Struthio camelus: one gene and its partners. The protein of the gene in region 1 interacts with the protein of each later gene in a pairwise test. Links are inferred from orthologs where the notes say so. Each region holds a gene or a part of one and is shown in the gene's direction. Other genes may lie near its edges.

The links.
Region 2: the proteins of HTT (region 1) and KLF11 interact in binary tests that used the Homo sapiens proteins (3 or more experiments, as listed by UniProt). The link is inferred for Struthio camelus from reciprocal best matches to the Homo sapiens genes HTT and KLF11.
Region 3: the proteins of HTT (region 1) and HOXC4 interact in binary tests that used the Homo sapiens proteins (3 or more experiments, as listed by UniProt). The link is inferred for Struthio camelus from reciprocal best matches to the Homo sapiens genes HTT and HOXC4.
Region 4: the proteins of HTT (region 1) and KPNA3 interact in binary tests that used the Homo sapiens proteins (3 or more experiments, as listed by UniProt). The link is inferred for Struthio camelus from reciprocal best matches to the Homo sapiens genes HTT and KPNA3.

The regions. Positions count from the first base shown.
Region 1 is NC_090945.1:76,792,789-76,800,574, reverse strand, and holds the start of HTT (huntingtin), read left to right. Parts: upstream 1-4,785; 5' UTR 4,786-4,913; coding exon 4,914-5,014; intron 5,015-7,786.
Region 2 is NC_090944.1:24,675,919-24,683,073, reverse strand, and holds the start of KLF11 (Krueppel-like factor 11), read left to right. Parts: upstream 1-4,140; 5' UTR 4,141-4,324; coding exon 4,325-4,366; intron 4,367-4,793; exon of another isoform or gene 4,794-4,866; intron 4,867-4,952; exon of another isoform or gene 4,953-5,098; intron 5,099-7,155. UniProt on the Homo sapiens protein: Transcription factor. Activates the epsilon- and gamma-globin gene promoters and, to a much lower degree, the beta-globin gene and represses promoters containing SP1-like binding inhibiting cell growth.
Region 3 is NC_090969.1:3,002,233-3,009,585, reverse strand, and holds the start of HOXC4 (homeobox protein Hox-C4), read left to right. Parts: upstream 1-4,340; 5' UTR 4,341-4,357; coding exon 4,358-4,802; intron 4,803-5,301; coding exon 5,302-5,638; intron 5,639-7,353. UniProt on the Homo sapiens protein: Sequence-specific transcription factor which is part of a developmental regulatory system that provides cells with specific positional identities on the anterior-posterior axis.
Region 4 is NC_090942.1:192,846,296-192,854,002, reverse strand, and holds the start of KPNA3 (importin subunit alpha-4), read left to right. Parts: upstream 1-4,703; 5' UTR 4,704-5,594; coding exon 5,595-5,675; intron 5,676-7,707. UniProt on the Homo sapiens protein: Functions in nuclear protein import as an adapter protein for nuclear receptor KPNB1. Binds specifically and directly to substrates containing either a simple or bipartite NLS motif.

The DNA.
Region 1 (7,786 bases):
TGAGACAAAGGTGATAGTATTAACACTAGGCATATGACCTGGCAGCCTGGCTTTAATGCCTGCTTAGAGCAACTTGAAATTGAAGAATACCATGGGCACAAGCTGAGTAATTTTTATGAAGAAAGTATAGGAATTATTGACAAGTAAAGGAAATCTGAATTTACATTTACCATATTTTTCAAAATGTTCTTTCCATATTGGAGGGAGGAGGGATTTTAACAAAAAAGATCAAATTAACACACACCCCTACCCTCCCGCTCCCATTTTGGAGTGTTGAAGTTTAACACTGTGTCTCCAGGTCATGTGAAGAAAATGGACTAGATGATGAGAAAAGGGCAGTTGCTCCTAAGAGGTTGCTCCTTAAATTACTTTTTCCTCTGCTTCTTTTAACAAGAAATTTGGACCATGCACAAAAGTTGTTTTGCTTTTTAATGAAGCTTTATTTAGGTTCAGTCCTCAAGTTGTTCCTAATGTTCTGGACTTTTTTTTTGAGTAACTATATATTTGCAGGATTAGGACCTAAATCCTGTGTGTGGTTTTTTTTTTTTTTTCCAAGTAGGTTTCAGCTGGCATTTTTCCACTTTAAATTTGTCCCTTTTGTCTCCATGCAGTGAGTATGACCTAACTCCTTGTGCAATTTACTAACTCTAGTACATGGACAGGGAATAAATACATTAAATCTGCAAAGCAATGTGACAATCCAACAGCCTGACTGCTTTGTTCTCCTGGTACAAAATAGGGTAAAATTTATGGAATTCCTATGGAGTTACTTGTATGAGATCGATCATTCTTGTCTGTGGTTTGTTTCCAAGTATTTTTGTGTGTAAGTCTTAGCGTTTGCTTATTCATACCTCATGAATATATATATTTAGCTCAAAATTCAGAAACTGTGAAACAATATAACAGTATCAGTTTATTTTTGAATGTTGTGACTGACCAATAGAATTAAATCTTCATGCCTCAGGGTTGCTTTCTTTCTATAAAAACGTAAGTTTTGCAGAGGTAGTGTTCATAATAAAGATGGCATCATGTTTTTGTATTATAACAACATCAAAACAGCCCCTATTTAAAAAAAAAAAAAAAAAAAGAGCACTTAAAAATAATTACTGTACAATAGAAATAGGAAAACCTGTGGTATCTCAGAAACAAGGAGATAGCTATTGTCAAACCTTAATCTTTAATAAAAAATGCTATATCTTTTTAAAATCGTTTTTAAAACAATAGATCTGAAGGCAAAAATGAATTTTTAGAATACTCTTCAATTATTTTTCAAATAATATAGATGGAAGGTATTTCTCACTGTCGTTTATAAATTCCAAAATATTGTTTACAAGTTACTGAAAATAAGTCAACAGAAGTAGTAGTATTTCACTATTGTTTACAATTTAGTATTATAATAATTTATCACCTCTATTCTCATGTTGACTTCCAGAAAATACTTCTCTCTAAGTACTCACAAGTTGGAATTAATTTAAAACTTTAATGGAGAACATCTTCAAGATAAATTTATGTGCTTTTTGGTGGTTTTCTAGGTTTTTGTTTTTTGAATGACCTGTGTTTGGTGGTAATGATGTCTCTTCTGTATGTATGTATGTGTGTTTTTTTTTTTTTTTTGTAATTGTCCATATGGTGTAACTTAATTTAAGTTTTGCATGTGACACAGGTAATTTCTCACATGTTCTACATGTGTCCAGAACACCAGAGTTCTTTCCAAGTATAACTATTTTGATGGCTAAATGTGATACGTTGGTTCCAGTATTTCCAAACCACTGAATTGTTCTTGTATGAGCTGTTTTCCTGGAGGTTCTAGCGTTTGTTGTTCCGAAATAAAAGCAAAACACTGCCGCATGTCTAAATCACATGTATTATTGTCTAATGTGATTTATTCACCATGTCTCTCTTGGCAACTGAGGTAGATAATGGAAAAATTATATATATGTATATATATTTTTTTAACTCACAATTTGTTGAAATAGAAAATGTGTATTATATGTTGTAATTTCTTTACCAATGTAAGACTGTCAGATCCAGCAGAGAGTACCCTAGCTCTGTTGTATTTGCTCAGTTGATACCTGAATTATTAGTCCGATTTCTAGTTTTTGCATACATATTGGTGTGGAAATGGAGAATTATGGTGATTGTCTATTTTTGTTAATATATTTATTGTGCTAACGTTATGAATGTGAGTGCAAGACTGATCAGGAGTAGCTGTGCTTGTGATTAGTCTTGCAGATACTGAATTGTCCATAATGAAAGGAAAGAACCTAGACATCGCTCCTTGAGAGAATTTATGGCGAGTCACTAGTCAGACTTTTTTTTGAATGCTTTTCAACAATAAGCTGCTTGTATATCTAAATTTTCGAAACCTTGTTGTTTTTATGCAATGGCTTTCCCTGTGATTTTGTAACTTTTGAATTGAAGAAATAAGCACTCAATTGCTATACAAAACAGCATGTGTTTAAGTGACTTTAATGGTAGTATAACTCTGCTATGGCATATAGCAAAATACCTGAGCATATGTTCCAACTACATGAGTTGTATAGTCTCATGAAGTCTATTGGACGATTTATCCTAGTAGTGCCAAGTACCTGCTTGTGTTTGTGGAGCAACAGAAATGTAGAAATGCAGAGTCAAGACTGACTTTAGGAGAAGCATTTGTACTGAGATGAGGCCAAAAATATTCTTGACGTGCTCGTCTAACCTGTTCTTGAACGCGCTGAAGAAGTAGCCTTCAGTAGTTAAAAGTATTTCGCAAGCCTATGCTTGGGAAGCCTTTCCACATTCGTGACCTAGATGGTCTTCCTTTTAGGTAGGGTAAAAGCGTTGTTTCTTCTGTTTTCCTTCTGGAGGTGGAGACAGGTTTATCATCATTTACTAAGTTAACACTTTGTGTGTTGGTTGTTACTCCATTGAGAATGTGATTTTTTTTTTTTTTTTTTCTTCATGGTAATGATGGCTTACAAAACTTGCCGCTCTCTAACCCAGCTTGCTTGTTTCTGCCCCTTGCCAGTTTTACGTGCCTTTATTTTTTTAGCCCCATCTGTTTTGTGACCAGTGACGTGATCCATGTTTTTGCCTGTATCTGTCAATTTGAATTGGGAGAACCTATTACTATCACACTTGCCAAAGAAAAAGCCCAAGCCAAGATATCCCTGGGTGCTTTTCTTCCAGTTATCCCAACTCGTGTGTAACAAACGCCAAGACAGTCTGGGAAGACAAGAGCAAAGAGTAGTGCTGCTTTAGAGGCGTGTGTTGCCTTAGCATATCTGCCCGTGAGTCAGCAGCCCTTAGGGGACTGGTGCATGTTTTAATCTAAAGCTTCAAAGCAATTGTGCAAAGCCTGACTTCATAGGTGGCTTGTTCAGTCTTTGATAAGAGCTTATGCTCTTTTTAAACATGCTTAAACTTATTTCAAAGTTTGGAGTGGTACATGCAATTATGGGGTAGTGAATGCAGCCTTCCACTCGTCTTTTTTTTTTTTTTCATGTATCGTTTGCTGAATAAAAAATTAATGATCATCCATATGTTCTGGAGAAAACTCTGCAAGTTTAAAAGTTCTCAATTTGAAAGCGTACATATGTTTTGTCACACATTTATAATGAAATTGGGGCTTTGTTATAGTTCAGATTGCTTTCAGTACTGTAGAGATACCCTTTGAAACGTTCCTCAAAGTCAATCTTATTAACACACTAATAGAAGTGTCAGAGAAATGTTTTATGGACTAATTGGCAACAACCATATCACTTGTTCTCTGTAAGGCTGTTTATGGCTTTTCCAGCGTTTACATCAAGGCTAGAATATGAGTTGTATAGGGGTAGGAAACTTGTGCCCGTGGGCCGAAGTTCAAATTCTGCTCCATCACAGAGATGGACATAGGGAACACCGCGGGTTTTTTTTTTTTTTTTGCGATTTATTTTTTTCCCCCTTTGCAGGCACGTTGTTTTAACTTCAGAACAGGAGCGGCTCTCTCACCACTTCAGTGCGTATAAAATGTATCAAAACGTCCTCAGAAGGGGCAAAGCAGGAAGCCTGAGAGGAGTGCTGGAAGCCGTAGGTTGGTAAGGATTAAATATCTTGCTCCCGTAACCGTTTCCTCTTCTCCACAGACACCTCAGGCCCGGAGCAGGCTAAAATAAAAACGGAAAAGCTGCTACCGTTGGGCAGGCTTGCCGGAGGGGTAAGGGGCACAGCCGCCATGCGCCCACTTGCAGCGGGGCGGGGGCCGGTACCTCAGCGCGGGGGCAGCCGCCCCTCCCCCAGCAGGGGGCGCGGCGCCGGCCGCGCTCGACGAGGGGCGGGGCCGGCGGGGGCGCGTGATCGCCGTTGGTCCGCGCCACTTGCTGGCGTCTGCCTCAGCCGCTCTGCTGTGACCTTTGGGAAGCGGCGGAGTTATCTTCTTTTTGATTGGTCAGCGAGGTTGTCGCTCTCCCTGTTGCCCCGCCCCTCAGCTCGCCCGCGTGCCTGGGTGTGCATGTACCTACGTTAGGGGTGTGCACGTGACTCAGGGCTCGGCTGGGAGGGGGGAGGTTGCGCATGCGCGCTGGGCGCGGCGTTGCCCGTGGTTGGAACCGGGCCGCGGAGCGGGCGGAGCAGCGCAGGGAGGGGGCGGGGCAGCGGCGTGGGGGATGACGGGACGGATTGAAGATGGCGGCGGGGCAGCAGGGGAGTGCTCGCGGCCCCCTGCGGCGTCTCCCTCATTCATTGCGGCCGTGACGGGCGGCTCGGCGCAGCGACCGCCACCGGCGCGGCCTGCGGCGGCGGCGCCTCGGCTGGCTTGAGCGCGCCGGGCGAGCCGCGGGGGAAGGCGGGGCAGAGCCGGGCCCGCGAGGAGGAAGGCGGGCGCCTGCGAGAGGGCGGAGAGGCGCGTCGGGCCGGTGCCGCGACCGGCGCGGGCGGAGCGGAGCGGACTGGACATGGCCACCATGGAGAAGCTGATGAAAGCCTTCGAGTCGCTGCGCTCCTTCCAGCAGCAGCAAGGGCCGGCTGCTATCCCCGAGGAGCCGCTCCAGAGACCGTGAGTGACCGGGCACGGGGAGGGCTCCCTTCCCCTTCTCTTACCCGCGCCCCGCAGGCTCCTGAAACATTTCGGTGACATTCTCCCCTGGGGAAGGAGAAGTCTTATCTTATGTCTTCCCCAACCTCCTTCTCCTCCTCCCTGGGCTGCTGCCGCTCGGGAGCTGCTGACGGTCTGAGCGACAGCTGGTAGCCGGGCGCTGCCCCGGAGGAGTTACCCTCGGGGCGCTTTCCTCTCCTTGCGGGAGGCTGTACTTGTGGACGTGGCTAGGAGCGCTGCCTGGCGCTAGTTTTTTGTTTGTGAATTTTAAAAGTAGCGGTAACTTTCTGGGTAAATGCATTTGACCATACAGGGGTTCGGACAGTGGACAAGAGAGAGAGCGATGCTGTATCGCTTTCATGGGCTGCTTCTAGAAAGCAAAATGTTATTTTCAGCTAACACACTGTTGAAAAACAGCAGAAAATGAGCATGACTTAAAGTCTAAGCTCTGAATACATTTGGGGTAGTTGACGTGAATGTCTATTTATGACAAACTTCATTTGAAATCTTGTCCTGTGACTGATTTGCTGTGGTGATTACCAAGAAGAATTAATTTAAACGTTTCTGATGTCCTTTTGCTTTCTGAAAACATTAGGGGCAAACACATTGAAGAGGCATCTTTTTGCATCCGTGTGATGTTCTGGTGTCCCATCCTAGTGCTTTATTGGAGGACAAAGGCACGAAGCTGTTCAGTACCAGAGTGCTGCCCGCTACATTAGCGTTCTCTAAAAATAAACTTTATTGAACAGGTGAAAAAGCACTGAGATTTTTACTAGATAAATACGTGAGTCACATTATTGTTTTTGCTCCAGATATCAGTGAAAGAGGAGAAGCAGAAGGGCTGAGGAGCAGGTAAGTTCTAAATTGGCAGTTTGAGTGTTTTGGCAGACGATGATAAGCAGTGGAGCTGGGCTCTTAGCCACCTGCTCCCACAGTACACTCTGATATGTTTGCCAACTAAATTATCATGGTTCATACTGTTTGGAGAGTGTTGTCTCAAACAATCTCAGTGCGTTTTCACACTTTCAGGGCATAACGGATGAAAAAGTTGGCTCATCCCTCCTTTGTGAGCCAGTTCTTTTTAGATGTCTTTCTGTTTCGCAGGGACTTATTGCTCTATGAGGTGCTTTTTTTTTTTGTGTGTGTGCTAGTACTTCATGTGACATGGTAGGTGGACATCTATTTCCAATCTTTCTTATATGGAGTGGGGAAAAAAAATCTATCTAAAAAGTTATCGGTAAGATAGATCATGTTCTTAAAGAAAGGCTTGTTAATTATTTGTGATGCTCAGTGAGGGGATGTGATGCTCAGTGAGGGGATGTAATGCTTCTGGTTTGAGGTTCTGAATTTAGGCCTGGTATACTCAAACCATTAAAAACCAAGGTTTGTAATTGTTCTTGCTGACTATGCTTTGTGTTTAAAAATAGACTGCATATTTTCAGAAAGCTGATAGTGTTGCATGCCTCCAGGAACTATACAAATTCAGTAATAGCACTAAGCCTCACCAAAGCCTGTGAAAGGACCTTGTGGCAGTCTTTGCTGAAGAAGTTTCCCAAACTTCTGGTTAAATACCAGGTGACATCTTGAATGTAATTCACACTTCTGTCTGTGTTTTGTGGTAATGGACTTGAAAGGAAAAATGACAATGCGTTTTCCTTACCTTCCTGGGAGAAATGATTGTCTTAATTGTGGTTGTGTATAAGTCGCACTTAAATCTTTTGTTGTTCTGTATGGTAACTTCCTATCTCTTATCCGTGTACTGCTGTAAAAAGGAGTGTCACTCTCTCAGTCGATAATGAGAGAACAAATGAATTGGTGAATGTCATAGGCAAAGTGCTAATAGTTTACTCTTCAATTGTTTCGTTAAATAGACATTTAACGCTGTCTGTTAGATTGGAGTTGCCTTGTTGCCTAAACTAGATGACAGGCTGACATTCCTTCAGTTGAAGAGTAATCTCATTATTACAGAATTTATTAGACAGTATTGCTATGTGGTACACGTAAGTGGGCAGAGGTTTTTTTGTTGTTTTTGTTTTTAAGTTCAAACAGTAAAATGGATTGCAGTTAAAAAGATGTCTAGGAAGTGCAGGCTTGAAATTTTATGTTTTCAAGTGCTTAAGAAGCTGCAATTAAAAAGATGCAAACACGAAGAGGATGGAAAGAGCTTGCGGGAATGTAAACTTGAGGACAGCCTATTGTTAAATAGGGAGTATTTCAATGAAAATCCATGTGAAAGAGATGCTTGGGATGTATACCCTCTATTGCAGTAGCAATGTCTTTTGGCTACCATGAAAGTAAGATCGCTGCTGATCTCTACTCTTTTTCTTATTTCAAAATAAGCTACCTTAAATTTTAACAACATAATATTACCTCTACAAGATTAAAAACAAACAAACAAAACCTCCACACAAAACACTTTCCTATTAGAATAGGCAAAAACTACCTTTGAAAAATATTGCTGGTAAAAACTGAGCATTCTGTATCTGGTTAGTGAATGAGTCCTGCTAAGGGCTCTTTGACTGATGCTATGAAATGTTATAACATCACAGAGAAACTGGAGTACAGTAAAACATAATTGTTTGCACCAATGTTTTGAAGTTTTTTTTTTTCATTTTATTCTTGTAAGATAAATGACTTTTGTGGTCTTGATAAAACGAATATCCTAGCTTTATTATTAAAATAGTAATTGAATTCAAGCTTTTGTCAGGGAGGTAAGAGCTTTTTCTATTTTGA
Region 2 (7,155 bases), on another chromosome or scaffold:
CTACTAGCAGTTAGAATTGGGTCACTTTGTGGATCCTGGCTGGGGAAATGAGATTGGATCATCTTTCAGACAACTGGAGTAGCCTGTGCAAATGCATTTCATGGGTAGGACTGATGGGCCTGTTAGCCTGCCCCCTGCTCCTTTAACTGACTGTGAGCTTCATTCAGTGACTGTTTAAAGGAAAATTCATATGCAGTCCTGGCAGCAGGACCAGCATGGCAAGTCTGCCCTTTGCCTGCTGAAGACCATGACCACTCAGCTGCAGAGGCAGGACGCCTTTGGCTGTTGAGGGCCCTTGAATTTTGTGTCCTTTGCTGTGCCAGGACGTGGTCACTCAGCATTGTCTAACCACCTTACTCGTGTCCTGCTAATGCCTGGGGAACTAAAGTGCCTAGCTCAGTGCTATAGGTTTCTGTTCAGGAGCTGGGCACGAGCATCTCAGCTGGTGCAGAGATGACGTCAAAATACTGACACTATTTGCTTAGATACAGCTCTTTCCCTCTCCCAGTCATTGTAAATGACTTCTTCCGGGGAGCAAAAGCACCAAGTTAGAGAACAAAGCACCTAAGGAGGCCACTCATCTTCCAGCGCCAGGCCCGAGGCACCTACCAAAGAGAGGGTGGCCCAGCGTATAAATGCAGAAAACATAAAGCCCAGGAGATCGTGACAAAACAGCTTCCTAAGGAAGGGGTCAGACACCTTTCTGCTCAATTGATGAGGTCATGGTTGAGAAATTGTTCAGAAAGAAGAAACTCACATCCAATGAGACATGTCTGAAGGAAGTTTGGCTTCCTGTGCCCATTGCAAAAGGGGTAAACAGGACAGATCCTTTCTTATTTTAACCTCCTGTTCATTTTTGTCTTTCATGTTAGAGCTAGTTACTGCTGTTAGGACGAAAAAGTACTTTAGGTATAGAAAGCCATTTGGCCAATGCCTTGATTGCTCGTTACAAGCTCCAGACAGGAAAAACTGCATGTGGCAAACTCAGTATGACCTTCTGGGGTGAAAGGTTTGTAGATCCACAAGCTGCTGTAGTCCTTGCAGCACAATCACAGCGTTCCTCCTCAAGGGAGATGGTAACAGGAGGCCTGGCACTGGGAAAAAGAGATTAGATCAAATATGGGAGGCATGGGGCAGAGATGCAAAGAAACAAGTGGAACACACTGACAGATGAGCCAGGGAGATCATTTTAATTTGTTTTTTGATGGGACTGGAAAGTAGTAATACTGACACCGGGGAAGCGACAGTCCATGAATTTACAATAGTGAAGGCCAGAGATGAGCTCGGAGTGGAGTTTTAGAAATTATGTGGATGGGGGGAAGAATCTGGGTTTGGAAGAGCAGTGAAGGAAAAAGTGAGCCCAGGGGTCAAATAAAGATAATGGGGAAAGGAGACAGAAGATTTAGGATGAGCCCCCTGAGTCCTCCACACTGATGAGGAGGATGTTACAAGCCTTGAGAAACTGAGGAAGGAAAAAGTAGAGATAATTCAGCAAGAAAAATGTTTATTATTGCGAATGTTTTGTTTGAGTTGGCAGCAAAGCATCCAAGGGCAGCCAGACTGGGAAAAGGTTAGCATCATAAACAGTTGTCTAAAACTCGGACCGTGCGCCCTTGATCCTCGATGACATACCACAGCTTGTTGCTGTGCCTCTGGGCTCCAGTTTAGGATGCTTCCATTGCAGCTCCCTATGCCAGGACTCAGTTTGCAGGCTCTGCAGGCTTGCAGTGGCACCTTATAAATTATTTCAGGACACCTTTGAAGAAATGTTTGAAAGAGGCAGTTAGCTGGAATTTGAAGCAGCTCTGCCAAGCAGACAGCTACCCTTTGAATTGGAGATGTTTTTAGCCTGTGCACTGCAAATATCTTTCCCTAGAGTGGCATTTCTCAGTTTTATTTTCCCACTTCTGTAACCTTTTAGCTCGAGGGCTGCTGGCCTGGCCTCAACACCTACAAATGAAATATAATCACTTAAGAAAGTGAGAAACTGGAGCATGTGCCCCACTGTTTCTTCAGAGACAAGTCTGGAGACACCTTCCTGACAGTGAGAGCTTGCTGAAGGGCTTTACCTTGCATCCCCCTCCTCCTCCGAGCTTGATCACTCTTTCCAACCCTCTGCACATTACAGGAGACATCAGCCCAGCACGAATTTCAGTCACGAGAAGATCGAGTTTCCCTCTTTGATGGCCAGTACTGTCGGGGACAGGAGCTCAGGTGAGATAGCCTAAACTGTCGGCAAACTTATCAGCCCTTGCAATTTCTGCAGAAGCCTTGCAGAGGATTTAGGGTTTTCATTAAAACCCCACATCTTGCTGTCACCTGGTGACTGATGAGTTTCAGCTTCCATTAAAAAAGGGAGGAAGGAGTTAGGGATGAGAAAGTAAAAAAAGAAAGCATATACATTTCTTCTAATCTTGTAAGCTCTTGAGCCATTGCAATTTGAAGATTTGTTAAAATGTGTATCATTGGCAATAGCACCATGACATGATCGTGGCAAGGACCTCTTGCAGGGACCCCTTGCGTAGGGACACTGGCCCAGAATTAAAGGCTGTTCCTGTTAGGCCAGGAAGGGAACGACACAAACCCAGACGAGTTCAGGTGAATTCAGAGCGGTAGGTCAAGGTGCCAGAGAGGGGCGCTAAGCGGGGGGAATCCCGGCAGGCATGCCCTGCTCCTCAAACAAGGCCAGGGGAACGCAGGAGATGCGGGAAGCAAAAGGAACGGAAACAGATGTCACGCAAGTCCCCAGTGCCCACTACAGTGAAACTTTCATCTCTCTGTATTGTGAAAGTCCAGCTGGGCCAGACTGTCCAGGAGACCGACAGGAGGTCCCAGTCCATTGGGTCATCTCCACGGAGGAGAGCAGTTTTGCATCGCCGAGCACAGGATGAGACGAGAGCATCACTCAGACCCCGCTGCTCCCCACCACTGCCCCACTGACTGGCAGAGGACACAGCTGCCCTCAGTGGGGTGACAGGAATAGAGCGCCTATTGCCCTGCACAGGCATCGAGCCCTCCTGGAAACCCACTGCCAGGCGCTGCTGACCTCCAGCGTGTGGCATCATGGTGGACGGTTTAAACTGACCACGCGACCCTGCCACAAGGCCTCGCGCTCTCCCTGCTGCTAGCTGCGGTGCCTGTCCGACCCACAGGGCCCGGGCACAGGACATTAAACTGGCAGGGTGCTTTCTTGGTGGGCTAGTTTCCCTTCCTGAACCTGCCACTCAAAGAAAAAAATATATATATTAATGACCCCTTTTTGAGGGGGTAGGGTTATTTTTAATCCTGGATCTTTTCACTGATCCAGTTTGCTGATCTGGATCTACATAGTCAGGCAGGAGGCCCCATTTCTAAGCTCCACGCTGCAGCCAGCAATTTCTTTAACGAAAAAGAATTAAAGGAATGTACAAATCTCAGAGAAAAGGATGTTTCCAAAAAAAGTACGGGAGACAGCACAGCCTGCCCTAGTTTATTATCCCTTCTAAACTGCATCCCAGCTTTTTTGGTTTGTTTTTTCAAGATGGCCTCTGCGCCCTGTCCCGGACGAAGTGCGCGTTCGCCTTCTCCCTCTGCGGTCGCTGCCCCGGCCCCGGGGGCCGCAGCGCAGCGCGGCTCCCTGAGGCGTTTTCCCGCCTCCCCCGCGGCGCGGACGTGCTCGGCCGGGCTCGGGGCGGGGCCGCGCGGCTGCCCGCGTCCGCGAGGGCAGGCGGCCGCCGCCGGGCCCGGCCCGGCCCGGTCCGCTGGGCACTGCCGGCCCGGCGGAGCCCGCGTGCCGAGCGACGCGGCACGGCGGCCACGGCACGGCGGCGCGGCACACCCCGCCCCAGCCCCAGCCCCCGCCGCGCCGCGCCCCCGCACGGCATTCCCCGGCCGGCCGCCGCCCCGCCCCCCGCGCCGACCTTTCCCCTAGTTTCCAGCGCGCGCCGCGCCGCGCCGCGCCCCCCCTCCGCCCGCCTCCCGCCTTTCCCGCCCGCCGCCGGCTGGGCCGCCGCGGAACGAGCCCACGCGCCGCCCTTCCTGCTGGCAGCCCCGCGGCACGCTGCGATCACGCCGGTCGGCGCCGCTCATTGGCCGGGCGCGGGCCGGGCCGGGCTGTGATTGGTGGGGAACGGCCCCCCCTCCTCCCCTCCCCCCCGCTCGCCGCCCGCGCTGTCTGCTGCATGGAGTATTTCGGAGCGGTTCCCGCGGCGCGCGGGCTGCTCGGCTGCCGGCCCCGCGGGCGGGCGGGGGAAGGGGAGGAGGCGGAGGCGGTGCCGGCTGCTGCTTCTGCTGTTGCCGCCGCCGGCAGCCTGGTCACATCGCTGCCGTCTGCGGGAGCCGCACCATGCACGGCTCGCCCTGCTCGGAGATGGGAGATGCGCCCGCGGTAAGCACCGCACCTCCGGGCTGCGCGGGCGGCACCGCAGAGCCTCCGCACGGGCGGCGGGAGGGGCCGGCGCCCGCCGCGCCGAGGGCAGCGCGGGGCGAGGCCGGGCACGTGCGCTCCGGCGCCGCGGCGATGGGCGGCGGGCAGGGCAGGGCAGGGCAGCGCCGCGCGCGCCGCGAGGCGCCCGCCGCCCCCGGGGACCGCTCCGGTAGGAGCGTTACCCGCTCGGGGAGCGATTAGAGGGGGTGGGGGGGGTCCCTTGTGGCCGTTACCTGCCCGGGGCGGGGGGGCGGCGGTCCATTGGGACCGTTATGTGCTCGGGTGGGAGGCTGGCGTCCGTTGGGACCGCTGGCTGCTGGGGATGGGGGTCCGTTGGGGCCGTTACCTGCTCGGGGTGGTGGGAGTCGGCATCCGTTGGGACCGTTACCTGCTCAGAGTGGGGGCGGCAGTCGGGGTCCGTTGGGACCGTTTCTTGCTCGGAGGCGGGGGTCCGTTGGGACCGTTTCCTGCTCGGCGTGGGGGCGGGGGTCGGGGTCCCTTTGGGACCGTTTCTTGCTCGGGGGTGAGAGTCCGTTGGGATCATTACCTGCTCGGGGTGGGGGCGGGGTCCGTTGGGACCGTTTTCTGCTCGGCGTGGGGGTCGGCTGGGACCGTTACGTGCCCGGGGGAGCCCCGGCAGAGGCGCGGGCCGGGAGGCCGATGTTTCCCCGGCTCACCTGCCGGGGCGGGCGGGCGGCGGCCGTGCGGAGGCGGGGGGGAGGCATGGCGGGGGCTGGCCCCTTGCCGCCGTGCCCGCCCCGTGAGCGGCGCCGCTGCGAGCCGGCCGGCCGGCCGCCCCCGAGTGACATGAGGAGCGGGCGGCCGCCGCGGGGGCGCCCCGCCGCCCCTTCCCGAGGGTGGCGCTTGCTCGGCCGTTTGGCGTGGGGGAAGCGGGGCCGCCGAGGAGAGCTTCCCCTCGCCTCCTCCTGCCTGCCTTTATTCGCTTCCTAGCTAGGGATAAAGGGGGGAAGGGGAAAGGATCCAGGCCGGAGCACTGCAGGGCTGTGGGGGATCTCCCGTCCGCCTGCTGCCGGTCCCTGCCCGAGTGCCTGCCAGCTCCCCCGCTGTGCCCCGGCACATAACGGCCGCTGCAGCCGCGGCACCCGGCGGGGTGATCTGAGGACAGGCGGTCAGGCGTGGTTAGCCGTTTCCCTGCCAGCAGGGAGAGCCTAGGCTTGAACGCTTGCTTTGAGAAGCGTTTTCCTCCCTCTTCCTCTCCCTTGCACAATGTATTTTGTTCATATTTCTTTAGGGAAAAACTGGTATCCTGAAAGACAGACTTAAACATATTGTCTGCAGTCAGACTTTGAGGGATTCTCAAAGGCTGTGTGGCTTCAGTGCAGAGCCTCACATGGTATGGCTCCTGTATGGCAGACGGTCTAGGTGTGTAGGCTACGATTTCTTGCTCTCATTCCCTTTTTCATTATTTTTCAGTGGAAATGCTTAAAAGTCTTTATCAGATCAGCTAATCTCTTAGATTCCTTATTTTAGAATGCTTTAACCCCTTGCTGCCCCTAGTCTTGACCTCTCCGTGTTTGGTACCTCTTGTTTTAGGTGAAAGACCTCTGTGGATGCAATATTAGCATTTTTGATCCATTGTGTTTAAAATGTTTGCCAGGGTACATCTCTGTAATGGCAGTAGTGTCCCGTAGTAGTGTATCTTTGTGACACTCCTGGGCCAGGATTGTTCCATGTTACTTAACACCTCATGTCAGTAGCAATATCTCATTGACTTCACTGCGTAAGCGATGTCACCCAGCAAGTATAGTTCCTTGCAGGGCTTTTGACCATAAGAGTGTGGTGGTGCTCACTGCTGCTTTTGTAAACCTTTTGTTGCAATATATAAGCACTCTTTATAACAGTGTGGAGTTCAAGAACCGTGGTCCATGCTTCTGAATCCCAGCTTTTACATCTAGTTGTGTGTATGTAAAGACTGAGGAGGTTTGGATGCTTAGTTGAGACTGAAGAGGGGGCAGAGCAAATAGTGAAAAGTAAGCATGTGAGTGATAAATGAACAGCACACCATGGCTTTGGGTCACTGCCATATGCACTGTGAGGGCTTTGTGAAGTTCAGGAACCTTTTTCAGAGAGAAGTCAAGAGTTTTGCATGCATGTCTGTGTGTACCCCCCCACACTAATTTTGTATGATGCTCCCATTTCTAAGCAAATCAATACAATTAAATTTGTTTTCATGTTAGTGATAGTACACTTAGAGATATCTAGGACCTATGTAGTATCTTACTTGTTTTAAGATACAATACAAATAATTAGTCTTTAAAGTGCCGTGAGGCTTTTCTTCCTTCCCCCTCACCCCAGTTTCCCTATTGGTAAAATAAGATTAAAACGCTTTGCAGAATATGGTACCCCGAATCAATGGCAGAGCAGGGATCAGACCTTAGAGGACTTTAGATTGCTGCTAAATAACACAGTCTTCTTTTTGGTCCAGGGAATAGCTTTGTCTAAATAATGTTAGAGGTTGAGATTCTTTCTTTTTCCTTCTTTCTGCTTGTGTGCGGGCGTGGGATGTGTTTATTCACAGCAACATAATCCAGGAAAGTAACTCTGAAAAACTGAACTGCGTGCTATGTGTATCAGTTCCTTTCCTTCAAGTCACTTTTTTAAACAAGACTAACAGGGATGGGGAGACAAGCTGTGCTTTGGTTGAGTGGGAGGGTGAGAGTTGAGCTGATTGCTAAAAGTCTTGCCTCAGGCATGGGATCTATTGCAGATGACCTTCATCATGAGCAGAC
Region 3 (7,353 bases), on another chromosome or scaffold:
GACGAAAGAGGCTCACAAGAAAAATGTGAAGGCTAGGACTTTGGGTGACAGGCTTTGCTTATTAAAATCGTTTTAGGCCGATTCATTACTTTAACTGACAACAGATTTAAGAAAAAATCAATTAAACATTTGCATATTTCTTTGCATAAATTAGACCTGTCTATTTGCATTATGAAGGAACAAAAAGAAAAGGTCTCTTTGCACTTACTGCTTTCAAGTTGTGAGAAAAAATTAAAATTTAATTAATTACATGTCGTTGCATATGTTAGAGAGAACCCAACTATTTTTTTTTTCCCTGAAAAAAAAAAATCCGCCTTTCCTCCCCCTACTACCCATGTAGCCATAATGCCATAATCACCTCCAAACAAGCCCTTAAAAGCTCGGAATAAAACTCCACTCCAAAATTTATTTCCACCTTCCGAGTCTCGAGCAGGCAGAGTTCATACAACGCGAGGTTTTTTGCCGTTGTTTTACTATTATTATTAAACACTGAATAACAAAACCCCAGTAGATAGGTACTTCATTTTTTTCTAGAAAGCACAGATTGCTAATGGGCTGAGGTACAGGTTACCAAACGGTCAGTATGGTAATAGCTAACACAATGAATCCGGAGAGACAATGCATACTTATTTTTCTTCAGTACTGTCAGAAAGGCGCTTTGTACTTAAAAATGTTCCTGCAATGGGAACCAGATATATATTTTTGCAGCCTGGTTCCTGGGTAGTAAAAGGAAATAAAGCCCAGAAATGATTTTTTTTTTTTTTTCCGTCGAGGTGCTGCATTTCTCTTGGCATTGTCACTCCCAAACTGTTTATCGACATTGTGGTGCTGGTGGGGGGACGAGGGATGGAGAGCGGTGGGAGGGCTGCTTTATAGACAAAAGAGTCAGATTCTTGTACAACTATTCTTCACACGTCCTTACAGACTTATTTTATGGAAAGCAAAAGGGGGGGGATAAATAAATTTAAAAAAAAAAACAAAAATCGCCCAAACACTTCAGCAAAAGGCACAGCTCTGAAATCCAGTTTAAAAAGAGAGGAAAAGAGGTGGGGGGGCGGGGGGGAAAGCTTTTCCCCAGCCCAAAGAGAGGGGAGAAATGGGATTTTTGTGCACTTGGAAGAAATTTGGGGCAAGCCACACACACACACACACATACACACACACAGGGACTGAATGCAGACTGACAAGGGAGAGCAACAGAGAAGCGAGGCTCCCACTGAGACCTCCAAAATACCTATTTGGGTCTGGACCAGGGGGGTGGAAGAAGGGCAAACGGTGCAAATCAGGTTGCGTTTTCCCCTGGCTCATCCGGAGGAGGGAGAGCAAAGAGTTTAGGGACTTCCAGTTTGGGGGTTGCAAGGGGCAGGAATGCGTCTGGGTGACCTTCACGCCTTGCTTTTTGTTTTTTTTTTTTTTTAAAAAGCTTTTGATTGCTGCTGTTTTGTTTTGCGTTTTATTTTGGTTTTTAAACCCATCTACCCAGCCTATTCTTAAGAGAACTACCTGTGGATATTTATTTATTCTGCTGGGGCTTATTGAAAATCATATATTCTAAAGGGGGGGAGGGTGTGCGTAGGTAAAAATTACTTTATTAACTCTCCATCTTTATTCAATATTCCCTCAGCCTTGGAATAAAGTTGTTGCATCAGTCTGAACTATAAATGTCAAAGCCCTGCATGAGTCTGAGGTGTTTGGGCAGAATGAAGTATAGCTGGGGAAAAGGAATTTATTGGATATATTTAAATCAATGTTTTGGGTTCCGGAATACATTTCTATTCATGTCTTTTCCTTACCTCTGAGCTCCCATCCCCCTTCACTCCCCAGCTCTGAAACTATTCTGGAGCGAGCAGGAATTTTACCTGCCATGTATGTATATACATATAGATACCTAAAGTCCTCGATATATAACTTTAGGAAGGCATCAGCTTTGTCAGGGCACGGGGGGAAGCAATTAGTCAAGCCCTGCGAATCAGATGCCAATAAAAACAGGAACTGCTAAGTAACAACCAAGAGAGCAAACGAGTTATTCCCTGTCTGAGTGCCAACATATATATAGATACACATATATATACATATATAAAACGCACACACACACACATGCATATGTATATATATGGGGCTGGCTCTTTGCTTTCGGAGGGGATTCCACCATAAATATGCCAAGCCTCCCGAGCCTGTGGCCAGCTAAAGCAACGTGGTCAATCAGTGGCCTCTGCGTCCTCCTTCGGCCGGGCAGCGTGGTTTTTTGGCAGCCCCTTGCCCTGCTCAGCAGCCCTTGCCCCAGCCCTCCCGTCGCCTATATGTACCCTGTAGACTCGAATTTGTGTGAGCGTCGCAAAGTCACAAATTCGTCTCTAGGGGAATATATGGACGATGCCAGAGCCTTGTAAAGTTCTGCTTGCCTTTGATGCCTTTAATTGCAGCCGTCCTAATTAAATTCGCAAAGCCGGGTTATGTCATTTTAAAAGGTAGTTATTCAAGTGCGGAGCGGCGTTTGCCGTTTGCCAGGGCAGCGCCGGAGCTGGCTTGTTAAAAGGTAGAGTGAAATAACCGTGATGATTGGGGGGGGGGGGAGTGATAATAATCAAAATAAAATCCCATTATTACTTTTCATCTCCAGAAGAAACAGCAGCTACCGCAAACACAACTCTCAGCCAAGAGCACAAAGAGCCCCGACCATTTCGCAGTGACTGATTTATGGCGTTTTACAACCCCATAAAAAGCTGTAACAACCAGCCAAAAGCCTTCGACACCGCTGGCACATTTAGTCTAATAAATAAAACATAAACAGTTAACTTTATGTGTCACTTTTATTGTTATCAAGTAAAATATGGCAATGCCCTGCAAGCTATGATTTTCGACTATAATTGTTATCAAGCCCAAGAAGGGAATACCCCACCTCCCTCCTCGGCCCCTCTCTTTAGTGCTAGCGATAGATAAAAGCCCTAATTGAAGGAGCTCCGCGCAACTCCCCAAAATGTTGCCATCCATTTGCAGCCTCCCAAGCTGCGCAGGGCGCATCCCTCCCCCGGGCGCGGGGAGCCATTTTCAGCTGGGCAGAGCATCCCTCCACCTTGCCCCTTTCGCCTCCGCCCAAAAGGAAAAAAAAAAAAAAACACAAAAAGGGGAAAAAGGAAAAAAGAGGGGGAAAAAAAAAAAGAAAGAAAGAAAATCGGCCTCAGCAAAAAGCAGGTTGAATGCCCAGCCCAAGGGCAGGCTGGCCTGGGCTGCCCGCCGGTGCGCGCCCTTGTGCGTGTGGGTGGGTGGCACCTCCGCAAACGCAACCCCCCCCCAACTCCTTAGCCCAGGAAAGGAGAAGGGGGGGGGGGAGACAGCAGCAGTTTGGGGAGGTGCTGGGAGATGGATAGAGGGGGTGCCTGCTGCCCCCCCCCCCCCCGAGAGCGTGGGAAAGTCGGGAGAGCATCGCCTGGCCGGGCAGCCCCCACGGGAGCTGCTGGCGAGCCGGGGTGGGGGGGATCTCCCCCCCCCCCGGTAACTCTGCGAGGATTTAGAGCCCGGTAGATAACGCCTCTCTCCTCCGCAGGTAACTTCCCCCCCCGCCCCGCCCGCACCGAGAGATGCAGACAGTGTTTAACCCCCTCCCCTCCGTTTTTTTTTTTGGGAGGGGTGGGCTTTTTTTTGGGGGGGGTGGAGGGGAGTGGGCACAAGTCCTGGCAGTGCCACCAACCTGCCTTGTGTCCCTCCCTTCCCCAAATTTCCCACCCCCCCACCAAACACACGCACAGCCGGGGGTGGGGGGGTGCTGCTGCAGAAGGGGGTGAAGGGGCTGCGGGCTCCGCAGGGCGGGCGGCCGCGGCCCGCTCGCACTCACACTCACACTCACACCGGGGGGGGGGGGTGTGAGTGTGTTTGTGTGTATAGGTGTGTGTGTCCCTCCATGTCCCCAGCTCAGCCCCTCGCTGTAGGGGCGGTGGGGGGGGGGACACACGGGGGATGCCCGGCGCTGCTCGCCCCGCGCCCCCCCCCCCACTCACACTCACATCGGGGGGGGGGGATGGAGGTGGGGTGTCCCTCATTGTTCCCAGCTGAGCCCAAACCCGGGGTGAGGGGGGCGGGTGGTGGGGGGGGGACACCCCGAGGGGGATGCCCCGAGCCCGCGGCGGGGCCGCGGCGCCCCGACTCGCGGCCGCACTCACACTCACACTCACGGCCGCACAATTTGGGTACATTTTTGCAAAACCTTTTGGTTCCTTATCCGGGGACTGGGCTGGCGGGTGTGATTGGCCGGGGGAGTCACATGGTGAAACTAACTTTACGGGGTCGCCAGCTAGTAGGAGGGCTTTATGGAGCAGAAAAACGACAAAGCGAGAAAAATTATTTTCCACTCCAGAAATTAATGATCATGAGCTCTTATTTGATGGACTCTAACTACATCGATCCGAAATTTCCTCCATGCGAGGAATATTCGCAAAATAATTACATCCCAGACCACAGTCCGGAATATTATAGCCGGACAAGGGAGTCCAGCTATCAGCATCACCATCAAGAGCTGTACCCAGTGCCACGACCCTCCTTCCCCGACCGCCAGTACAGCTGTGCTAGTATCCAAGCTCCCGGCAACCCGGCCGCGCACCAAAGGGGACACGGGCAAACTCCAGGAGGCCAACACCTCTCAGAGAAAGCACAGCAGCTCTGCGAGCAGGCTGCTCTTTCCACCTCTTCCTCCACTCCTTCCCCAGCCCCTCCAGCCTGCGGCCAGCCAAACCCCGAGCATCCTAACAGCACAGCTTCCAAACAACCCATAGTGTATCCCTGGATGAAAAAAATCCACGTCAGTACTGGTATGCAACTTTTATTTTCCTCTCCGTCGCGCTGCTCGCTGATTTTTTTTTTTTCCTTCACCCCATGCTCTCTCTCTCTCTCTTTTTTTTTTTTATTTCCTTCCCTTCCATGAGAGTCTTTGGGTTAGCACAATTGAACTGGATTTACGACTCCGAATGGGTAATTACACCCACCATAAATTTTATAGCCGAGCTACTGTGGGCAGCCTTAGCCATGTGGCTCGTTCTGTTATGTATGTGTGAAACTCCGAAAGCTTTGTAAGGGGTGCATAAATAATTCAGTCTTTTGAGCCAGGGAAACCCCTTCCTATTAGAATAGAAACTCTTGAGCTGCCCAAAGTTCTTTATTACCTATTTAGCCTAATACTTTTCCCTCTCAGCTGCTCCAGTTGCCTCTCTCTCGTGTCTCTCGCTCCCTCTCTCTTCTATTCATGCTAATTTTGCTGTTTTGTTTTGTTTTTTCCCCCCCTCCTTTTATTTTTTTTTTTCCTTCTCCCAGTGAATCCCAATTACAATGGAGGCGAACCCAAGCGCTCCCGGACAGCTTACACGAGGCAGCAGGTTTTGGAATTGGAAAAGGAGTTTCATTATAACAGGTACCTGACCCGGCGACGGCGCATCGAGATAGCCCACTCGCTGTGTCTCTCGGAGAGGCAGATCAAAATCTGGTTTCAGAACAGGCGCATGAAATGGAAAAAAGACCACAGGCTGCCCAACACCAAAGTGCGGTCGGCGGCGGCCAGCGCGGCCGCCCCCGCCGCCCCGGCGAGCACGGCCGCGGGCGAGGAGCTGCCCTCCGCCGCCGCGCAGGACCCGCGCACAGAGGATATCACCAGGTTATAAACACCCGCACACCCGCACACAAATGACTCTGGATTATTTATAGAATCTAATATATATATATATATATATTTTGGTTCTTTTGTCTTTTTTTTTTTGGGGGGGGGGAGGTGTCTTCCCTTCTCTCGTAGTTTTATTATTATTATTATTATTATTATTATTGTTATTATTATTATTTCCTGTGCGTATAAAAAACAATGGGTCTCCGTAAGACCGCAGGCTTTAGATGCATGTCAGATAGCATGAGGCCAGGTGTCTGTACCTGCAGGTTTTTTTACGCCATTTCAGGGTTTTATTTATTTTTTAAAAGGGGGGGGGAGGAGGGCGGGAGGGCAGGGTGGGGGGGGGAGGAAGAGGTGAATGTTCTGTTCGACGAATTTAATGAAGAAATGCTGATAATATTGGCACCAGAGACAAAAAGCGAATGTAGGTATTTTTTTCCCCCTCTGCATTACAAATGCACAATGGTCGAAGGAGCTATGAAGTTCTTTTGTAGAAATGTGGAAAAAGCTTAAAAAATCACGATTTTAAGAAAAAGAACAAAACCAAATACGAGACAGCGTACAAGGGTGGACGAGTCTTTGCTGGAAAATTGAAAAGAGAAAAGGTAGAGAGAGAGAGAAAGAAAGAGCGGCATATTAAAAAAAAAAAGCAGAAGGTTTTAAAAAAAGTCAGTAGCTAGTTTTTTTTGTCGTGGTTATTTGTGTTTTTGGACTGATTTTACATGATCATTGTAAACTTGCAATAAAGAGTTTTAGTGTGTATGTGAAAGTCCCAGTGTTCAATAAACCAGTCAGTGTGAATTAGTTTTACTTTCATGTCTGGTGACTTATTTTATCCTCACATTTTCCCCCCTTCCCAAACTCGCCCAAAATAATAGTAATAATAATAATAATAATAAAATCCTGGGACGATATATAATGAATCCCATGTGCACGAGTTACTGCTCTAAGTTAAGTTTAAACAAACATAAAGATAACTCTGTACTCCAGATTTTATGACATCACGAGGCGGCCAGTGACTTTAAATCTCAGACCCTCCCAACCCTGTATTGGGGGCGAAAAAAAAAAAAAAATCTGGTTTTCAGACAAGAGCAGCGCTGCAGATTGGGATTAGCTTCCATTCATGCCTCTTTATTTTGTTCTTTCCATCCAATATGAAATTGCCTGTTTTAACCTCGTCTCCCTTCTTTGAACTTTCCTGGTGTTTATTATTATTTGTATTTCGCTGTCGTGGCGTGGTCAGGTCGGTTCGTTTACCCATGAAAGCCAAGAGGGCGTAGGTAATTTTTTAGAGGCAATGAAAAGGCTGTTAAATAATAATAATAATAACAATAATGGTAATAATGGTAGTAATGGTGCTAATAACAGTAATTCATCGCTCTTGGCCTTTGGAGGAAGTATGCAAATTGGCAGCAGTGGGGGGATTTTAGAAATAAGCTGTTTCCTCCCCCCGGTGCAGGGGGTTGTGGTTTTCCCTGGCAGCGCAGGGAAGGGGAGCAGCCCCGGGTGCCTGGAGGGGGGGGGGCTGAGGTTGGGCACCCCCTTTTTTTAGGCCCTGGCTTTTGGGGAACTTTGCTGCAGGTCCCTGCTGCAAATCCCTGGCGCAGGCAGAGAGGCAGAGCTAGGCCTGCTTGAAGGCATCCCTTCCCCAAGCCCTTGTGTGCTTGCTAGGTGAGAGCAGAGTCCTCTGGAAATTAAAATAAATAAAT
Region 4 (7,707 bases), on another chromosome or scaffold:
CTCCTAGTTGTGCCAATTATCCACTCAGAAGCATAAATGAAGAGAGCCATCCTGCAGACAGTCACTCCCAGGTCCTCAGGGACTTTGCCATAAACAGCATCCCTTTGCTCTCTCCTCCAGGCCCTGCTTAGCCTGCATCAGGAACTGTCTGGTGCTTTTTGGCTCTGGAGCTGGGTTGTCGCTGGCGCGTGCCCAGGCCATGCACGCTGAAGGGTCTAGGCCGTGGAGCAGAGCTGTTGCTACCAGCAAAACCTGTGAGCCCATCGGTTCTTGCTGCTCGCTGCACAGCACAGCCTGGCCCAGCCTCCTGAGCAGCCCACCAAGCTCCAGGAGGCTGGACGGAGCCATGGCTCTGCAAACTGCGTCTCAGGAGCGTTGCTTTGATCAGAGCTCTGGGCAGGATGGCACATTGGCTGCTCATCATTATATGCCTTAAATTTGGGAGAGCTGGCCAGGACCTGGCATAAGTCTCGGTGACCCCTGTGGTTCTGCAGCAGCCTGAAGCTGAGATGTTAGGAGAAAGGGAAGTCTTCAGCTCCAGGCGAGTGCCGGAGCCCTGAGCACATCCCTTCCTCCCAGGGCTTGGGCTGTGCAGGGTCACAGCCGGCTTTGTTGGTGCAGCTGGTCAGCCTCAGATCAAAGAGCTGTTTGAGCCAAAGCCATGAGAAGCCTCAGCAGGGACTTGCTCCCCTCCTCTCAGGAGCTGCTTGCTGTCCTTGCTCTCTGCCTTAGCTACATCGCAGCTATGCCCATTCCTGCCTGTGTACCTCACTGATCCAGACCCGGGCCCTAACCCACTGGCTTGATCTGTGACGTGCCTGGTGAGCTCCTGTCTGATCCTGGTTACCATCGCCAGAGCAGCTCTGCTCTTCTTGTTGGAGTACTGTGGTACTGTGCCCTTGTCTCTGAAGCTGTTGCCCCATGCCTGCCCTTGGATCCAGTTGGCCTTCCCTTACAGAGCAGTCCTTGCTGCTCCCTGATCCTAGCAAATAGAAGATGAGAAACTGGCTTGTACTTACTCTGGAGTTGCTTGTGAGAATAGTGGTGGAGGAAAGCGAAATTCTCACCTGCGAAGAGCTTCCCCTAGTCCTCCTCCTGGTCAAAGTGGGGACAAAGAGAGTCTCTTAGATTGAACATGGGAGCTGTGAATATCCAGAGGTTTTACAGTTCCTCCTTCACTAAAAACATCATACAGCTTCTGGAAATAGTAGCAGACAAGCCACCTTGTCCCTGAATGCTTCTGTCCCTTGTCTGCAAATAATACAGGACCATGCCAGGTCAGACCATCTCATTTGCGTCGCCAACAGTCACCAGCAGATACCGTGGGAAAAGTATAAGGATAGGAATAAGTATGATGGTTCCCCCAACACTTTCCCAGCTTCCAACTATTTTCAGATTAGAGATTTCCTGACCTGGATGTGGCTTTTTCTATACAACAACTTTCCATGGGTTTCTCCTTGGTAGACCTGTCTTGTCTCTCCTTGAGCGCAGACTACCTTCCAGCAGCCATGGTATTGGACAGCAGCCTTTGACAAAGCTTGAGTCTTTACCAGGATTTATTTACTATTTATTTATTTATTTATTTACTTGTCACGTTCATTACTAAACTCTAGTTACGGTGTGGTAAGAACATAAGTCTTTTCCTAGGAAGACAATTTTTGACTTCTGTGACACAAAGTAGCCTTTCTGTATAGCTAATGTAAGCAACATGCAGCAATAGTCTTACTGAAGTGATACGTTGTAAAGACAAACTGAGTACCAAAGGCTTTGTTTGCAGGTGACTTTGCCTTAGTTTACCTTATGCGTTACTCATCCCTACAGAAAGAGACATCCCTTTTCTTCAGAGGGCAACACCCAACGAGACGCAGTTCAGCCAGCTGCCAGAGAGCTAAAAGTAATGTGGGGATACATGCTATACAAGCATCTGCCAATCTTGCTCTAATAGATGGGGAAAGCTAGGCCCAAAAGTTAACCGTCTGTTGGGAGTAAGAGACTGTGTGAACAGTGGCAAATCTTGTACAGAAAAGCTTCCTCCCACTCTGCTCTGCCTGTGATAGTATGATACAAGCCAGAGACACGTAGGCCTCCCATTTGGAGAAGGACAAGCAAGAGGTGAGACTGATGAATGACTTAGGTTGACTTAAAGTAGTGTTCCTTGCATCTTTTTGTAACTGGAAGTTACGTGTTTTTATAGACCCTGGTTTTGACAGATAGTCTGCAGCCAGTCCAGCTGCAGTGGGTTAAGAAAACAGCATCTCACTAGCTTCCCCACTCCTCTTGCAGCAGAGGGCACCTGCACCTCCTTCACCGCACATGTCTCAGCTTCAGCTCCTCATGGTTGTGAACAGGGAGGCTGAGGAGATGGCACATGTCCTATTTGCCCCCCTGCCTCCCCCTGTAACATGCACCAGCCAGACAGAGCTGATACTTGGTAGCATCTTAAATCGCTGCATCTAAATCTGCCTGATCCTTCTTGCAGGTCCTTTTATTAATGCATACTTGATAGCCCCCCGACACGGAGCTGCTTTAGAAAGAGTATTACTCAGGAGCATTACAGTTCTCTTATATGCTGGTTTTCTTGCAGCTGTATCGACTGGCAGGTGTTGACACAATCATTGAGCGCATATGAGCGAGTGACCAGTGACCTCAGGGGTGTCGACGCTGTAGCTGCAGGCAGGCTCCTGAGCTGTTCCTCTGTGGTTCCCAAAACAAGGTAATATCACCTTATTAGTCATGTTTTTCTGCTGAAGTCAACAGGTCATTCCAGAAACAAACACAGATCAACTCACTTCAGCAGTGGGAGCAGCTGGGGTAGCCCCAGCCCTAGGTATCAGGTGCCACTGTGGGGACGGGGATGGGTCGAGGCTTGCAGATCTTGTCCACAGGAACACGTCAATATGAAGCTCATGTGGTGAGGAAGAATGGCCGCACTGAACTACATAGTTCATTCAGTTTTCAAAGTAGCGAAGTATTTGCTCCTTATATTTTAGCAGTGGCTATTACAGTGCCAAAAAGCAGTATTCAGGGCACTGCATCAAAATGTGTTCTCTCTGAGCGCATGCAAGTTAAATTATCTAGTCAAGAATTCCACCAAGAAGCTTTATTCAGACAGTAACACTAATCAAACTGCCATGTAGCTCTGTCTAAAAGGCATTCAGTTATGAAGTGTCTACCAAGACCAATCAAATGTGCTACAGAAACTCTGAAAAGCCTATATCATGGGTAAGAAGAAACAGACAAGAAAAGACACGACCACCACTGTATCTATATATCTTACTGAGCGCAATGGATACAGCTTCATGTAAATTGAGTTGTCTCAGATTGGTGACATTCTATTTTTTATTCATTAAGTTTTCTGTTCTACCTCATATATCACACTGAATGGATTTGAACAAAGCTCCTTTGTTCGTGGTAATGGTGTGCGGCTCCTCCACAGGATGGCTGTAACACCCATCTGGCAGGGTTCAAAGCGGTATTGCGCTGATGTCCTAGCGGTTCTGCATAAGCCACAGCTGGCAGCTGCCACCACCTTCCTTGGCTGGTAAAACAAAGTTCTCAGCTACTGAATCTGCTTTAGTGACTCTTTTGAAGACAGCCGGACAGCTGGGTCCAATTTTCCTTCAAAAGAAAAAGTGCTAGAACCTAGAAGCTATCATCTCTGACATTAGCAGTCTTGATAAATACGGTCACATTAGTCGTGGCGTTTGCGCTTTGCATGCTCTGGGCTCCTTCTTCGCTGCCACAGCTAGCAATAACAGCACAGCACACCCAGGCAAAGCAACGGGGGAAATGCATGGAGAAATGTTTATCTGGAGCCCAGGCTGCTTGGATCCAAGAGGGACTCAAGTGCTAGAGTGATTCCTCACAGGAGAACATTTGGCACACAGCTGAACGACAGTGAGGAAGAGCAGTTGTTTTCCAGATTTTGCTTGTTTCCAACAGGCTGCAAGCCTTATTTTGCTAGAACTAGAAGTTACAAGTTAAAGTCATTTGAATGATGCAAGAGGGGACGGGGGAAAGCAATTAAAAGGCCAAGCTGTTGATTGAAGGAAGGGACTCTGAAGGAGAAAGAGAGGGTCTATGAAGAGCTTGTATATGGTTCCAAAGGTCTATTGCAGGACCTGATGTGATATAAGGTGAGCTAGATATGAATGTTACAGGGTTTTATTATTTTTAGATTTTGGTTTCCTTGGACGCTTTTCTTCCAAAGGAGTAAGACCTGGCTTTACAGAAGATGTTTGATCACTGGTTACCGGTGTCTAGAATTACATCACCTCAGTGCGTCCTCTTTTCCACTCTGGAAATACTGAGTGCAATTTTAAGGTATTGTAGGTTGAACATATGCAGAAACCTGCTGTACCCAGGCATTTGCAGATCTGGAAATCCTGAATCTATTTGCAGTGTATCCATAGGCCTACTGTCACAGTTGCATAATCGAGCTGGGGATTTCTAGCAATTTTTCATGATGCGGGGACAATCGGTCGGACTGGCCTAGACCGTTTGTATTCTACGTTACAGCAAGTGTGACACCTCCAGGATACGCACAGCCGCGCTGTGCATGCCTCGTACAAGCGACGTGTCTGGAAAGCACTGGATTACATTGGATTTAATTTCCAGGTACGGCTCAGCACGTGAGCTAAAGTAGATCGAGGGCTTCCCAAGACCTCTGATTCGCCAAATGCTTGTTTCGCAGTGCTTTCCCCAGACCAAACACGGCAACTTTGGCGCTGTGGTTTAGGACGGAAGAGGCCGCCGCAGGTGACCTCTGATATAACCGCAGCTGGAAGAACAACCCAAAGCCGGGTTTGCGAACCAGGCACCGAACCACAGGAGGCAGGTAACCGCGTGGCGCCTTCGGGGAGCGGAGCCACCGCTCGCTCGCGCGCGGCAGCCCGGGTGGCAGGGCCTTGCCGGGAGATTTGGGGTGCAGCCCGAGCCCGCGACCGCCCTGGGGTAAGCGGGGCCCTCTCCCACCGCGGAGAGGCTGCGCATCTCCACCGCCGCCATGCCGGCAGGCTCTCCCCGCGCTGGGAGCCTCAACGTCTCCCCGAGTCTCCCCGTATTTACTGCTGAACCCCCAGGCCCAGGCCCAGGCCCAGGCCCAGGCCCAGGCCGCGGCCGCTCCTCCCGCCCTGCAGGGTGCGCTCCCGCCCGCACCACGCCGCGAAGACTACGACTCCCGGAATGCAACGCGCGGGCCGCCGCCGCCGCCGCCGGGCCGCGTCTCTTGGCGCGTGCGGGCCGGGGCCGCAGTGCATGCTGGGCAGCGCAGTCCCCAGCCGAGGGCACGGCGCTGGCAGTTACGCCGAGGGAGAGAGGGAAGGGGGCGGGGCGAGAGAAGAGCCCGCGCCGCCACTGGCGGAGCCCGCCCGTCGCTCTGAGCGCGTCACGTGCGCGGTCACTTGGCAACGCCGCGCGCGCGCGCGCGCTCCCGCACGCGTTTCCCCCCCCCCCCCTCCGCTTTCCTTCCCCTTCGGGCTCGTCACGGAGCGTCCCGCTTCCCCCGCCCCCCTCCCTTCCCCTCCCCTCCCCTCGCGCGAGCCGCTGCCGCCGCCGGAGCCGCCTCGCAGGAGCTGGGAGCCGCCGCCGCCGCCATGGCCGAGAACGCCGCCGCCGCCGCCGGCCTGGAGAACCACCGCATCAAGAGCTTCAAGAACAAGGGCCGCGACGTGGAGGTAGGCGCGGGGCCCGGTGGGGCCCGGCCGGCCCGGCCTCCGCCTCCTCCGCCGCGGGCAGGCGGGTGCGAGAGGAGGGGCCGGGCCGGGCCGGGCCTGGCGGCGCTCGGCGGGCAGCGGCGGCGGCGGGCAGGAGGCCCGCGGGGTTTTTTCTCCTCCGTCATGCGGGCGCGGCCGGCGGGGGGGGAGGGTTAGCGCGGCCCCGGCGGTGTGCGGGGCCCGCGGCGTGAGGCGGCCGAGCGGCCCGGCCCGGCCCGGCCCGGCTCGGCCGCGCCCCCTCCACCCGGCTGAGGCGGGGGGGGGCGGCGGGGAAGGCCGCGGCGGGCCCTGCGCCGCCGGGATCCGCCGATCCGCCCCTCCTCGCCGGCACCTTCCCCCCCACCCTCCCCTTCCATCTGCCTCCCTGCCGGCCCCTGCCCTCCGCCGCCCTGCCCGGTGCGCTCGGGGCTGCACAATGGTGCCGGCTGCCTTTTGTGCCGCTCCCCCCCCCCCACGGCGGGTCGTAGCCCTTCCGCCCGAGGCGGAGCTCGCACGCCGGGCAGCGGCGGCCCGTCCGCCTGCGCGCCGCTGCACATGGAGGCCTACGCCGGCTGCTAAGGGCCAGGGGGAGACCGCAGGGGCCGCTCCCCCGCCCCCCCCTCCATGGACCTCTCTGCGGCGACCTGGGCCCGCCGATTTTGCTCCCTGCTCTAGCTTAAACCACCTTTTTTTGTGTTTCATATATACACGCACACACACGCATACACATATATATTTTTATGGTTCTAGGTACACAAGGAATCACCTGCTGGGCGTCTCCATCTACATCGGGAAAGAGCGTGGGGCTCTCAGGCTAATGGAGTGTTAGTTTGCTTCCCCCGAGTTTGAGAGAGTCTGGGTGGTGAAAAGGCCGCTCGCTTATTCCCTGGAGGGCTTCTTACAGTCTTGGGGATCTATATGCCATTACTAGGGACATCTTCGATTTTTAAGTCACAACGGAAAAGGAAGGAAATCCCAAATCTTAAGCCTTTAAGTTTCTGTAATAAGAAAGGAAGGGGGCCCTGAAGCCAGACTAGGGTTGAAGTCGAATTAGGATTCACTAGCAGGAGAGCCTAAATATATGTAAAATTACTTTCTTTCCTCCTGAGACTGCTTTTCCTTCCTTCTGCTGATATATTGTGATATTATCACTTGACTATACTTTTACAATCGATGTTGCTGGAATTTTAGTCCTTTGAAAGCATGTTTTGTATTTAAGCATAAATCACACCTCTGCTGCCATTGTTTGGGTGGAGACAGTTTCATGCAGGTCAGGCTTAGCAGCAGTGTCTTTAGGATGACATTCACAATGTAAACTAATCTTTATCTCAATTTCTGTTTAACTTGATGACAGTGATTCTTTCTCACAGAAGACCTTGTGTGTAAGGAGCGTGATAACTTAAGCACTTTTGGCTAACAGTAGTAATTATTTGAAAGTAACTAAAAATTGACCATCCTTCAGTTTAGGGAAGGAGGGGGAGGAGACATGGTAGGTTTCTTTTTTCCCTTCTCATCCAGCAAGACTCTTCCTGCTACTCCTCATTCATTTTGTCCTTGTCTCATCTCCTCGTCTTCGTTGTTGGCTTTGTTGCTGCTTTCTCAGGCGCTGGCCTGAATCCATCAGAGCTCTAAACAGGGAAAGGTTAGGTATGTTCATGCCTAGTGTGAACTGATCTGTCATCCATACTTGCTTATATTATAGCATGCCCACGACTAGGGGAATTAAATGTCTGCCTGTATGGGAGGAAGAGGGGAGTTGACCGCCTGAGCTTTACTGGCATTGGTTATACCAGACCAGCTAAGGTGCCTTAGCTCTCAGTAGAACGCTTGCTCCTGAAACGAAGTAATTATTTTGGAATAGTGTATTTGCAATTATGGAGAATATATCCTATAGGGTTATCTTACAGTAGCCAGGCTGATTGACTTCCTTTTGTAGTTCAGCCCTGAAACTGTTTGCCTGGTGGATAACCACATTAACATTAATGGAACTAAAACTTGCATCCATGCTTTGAGA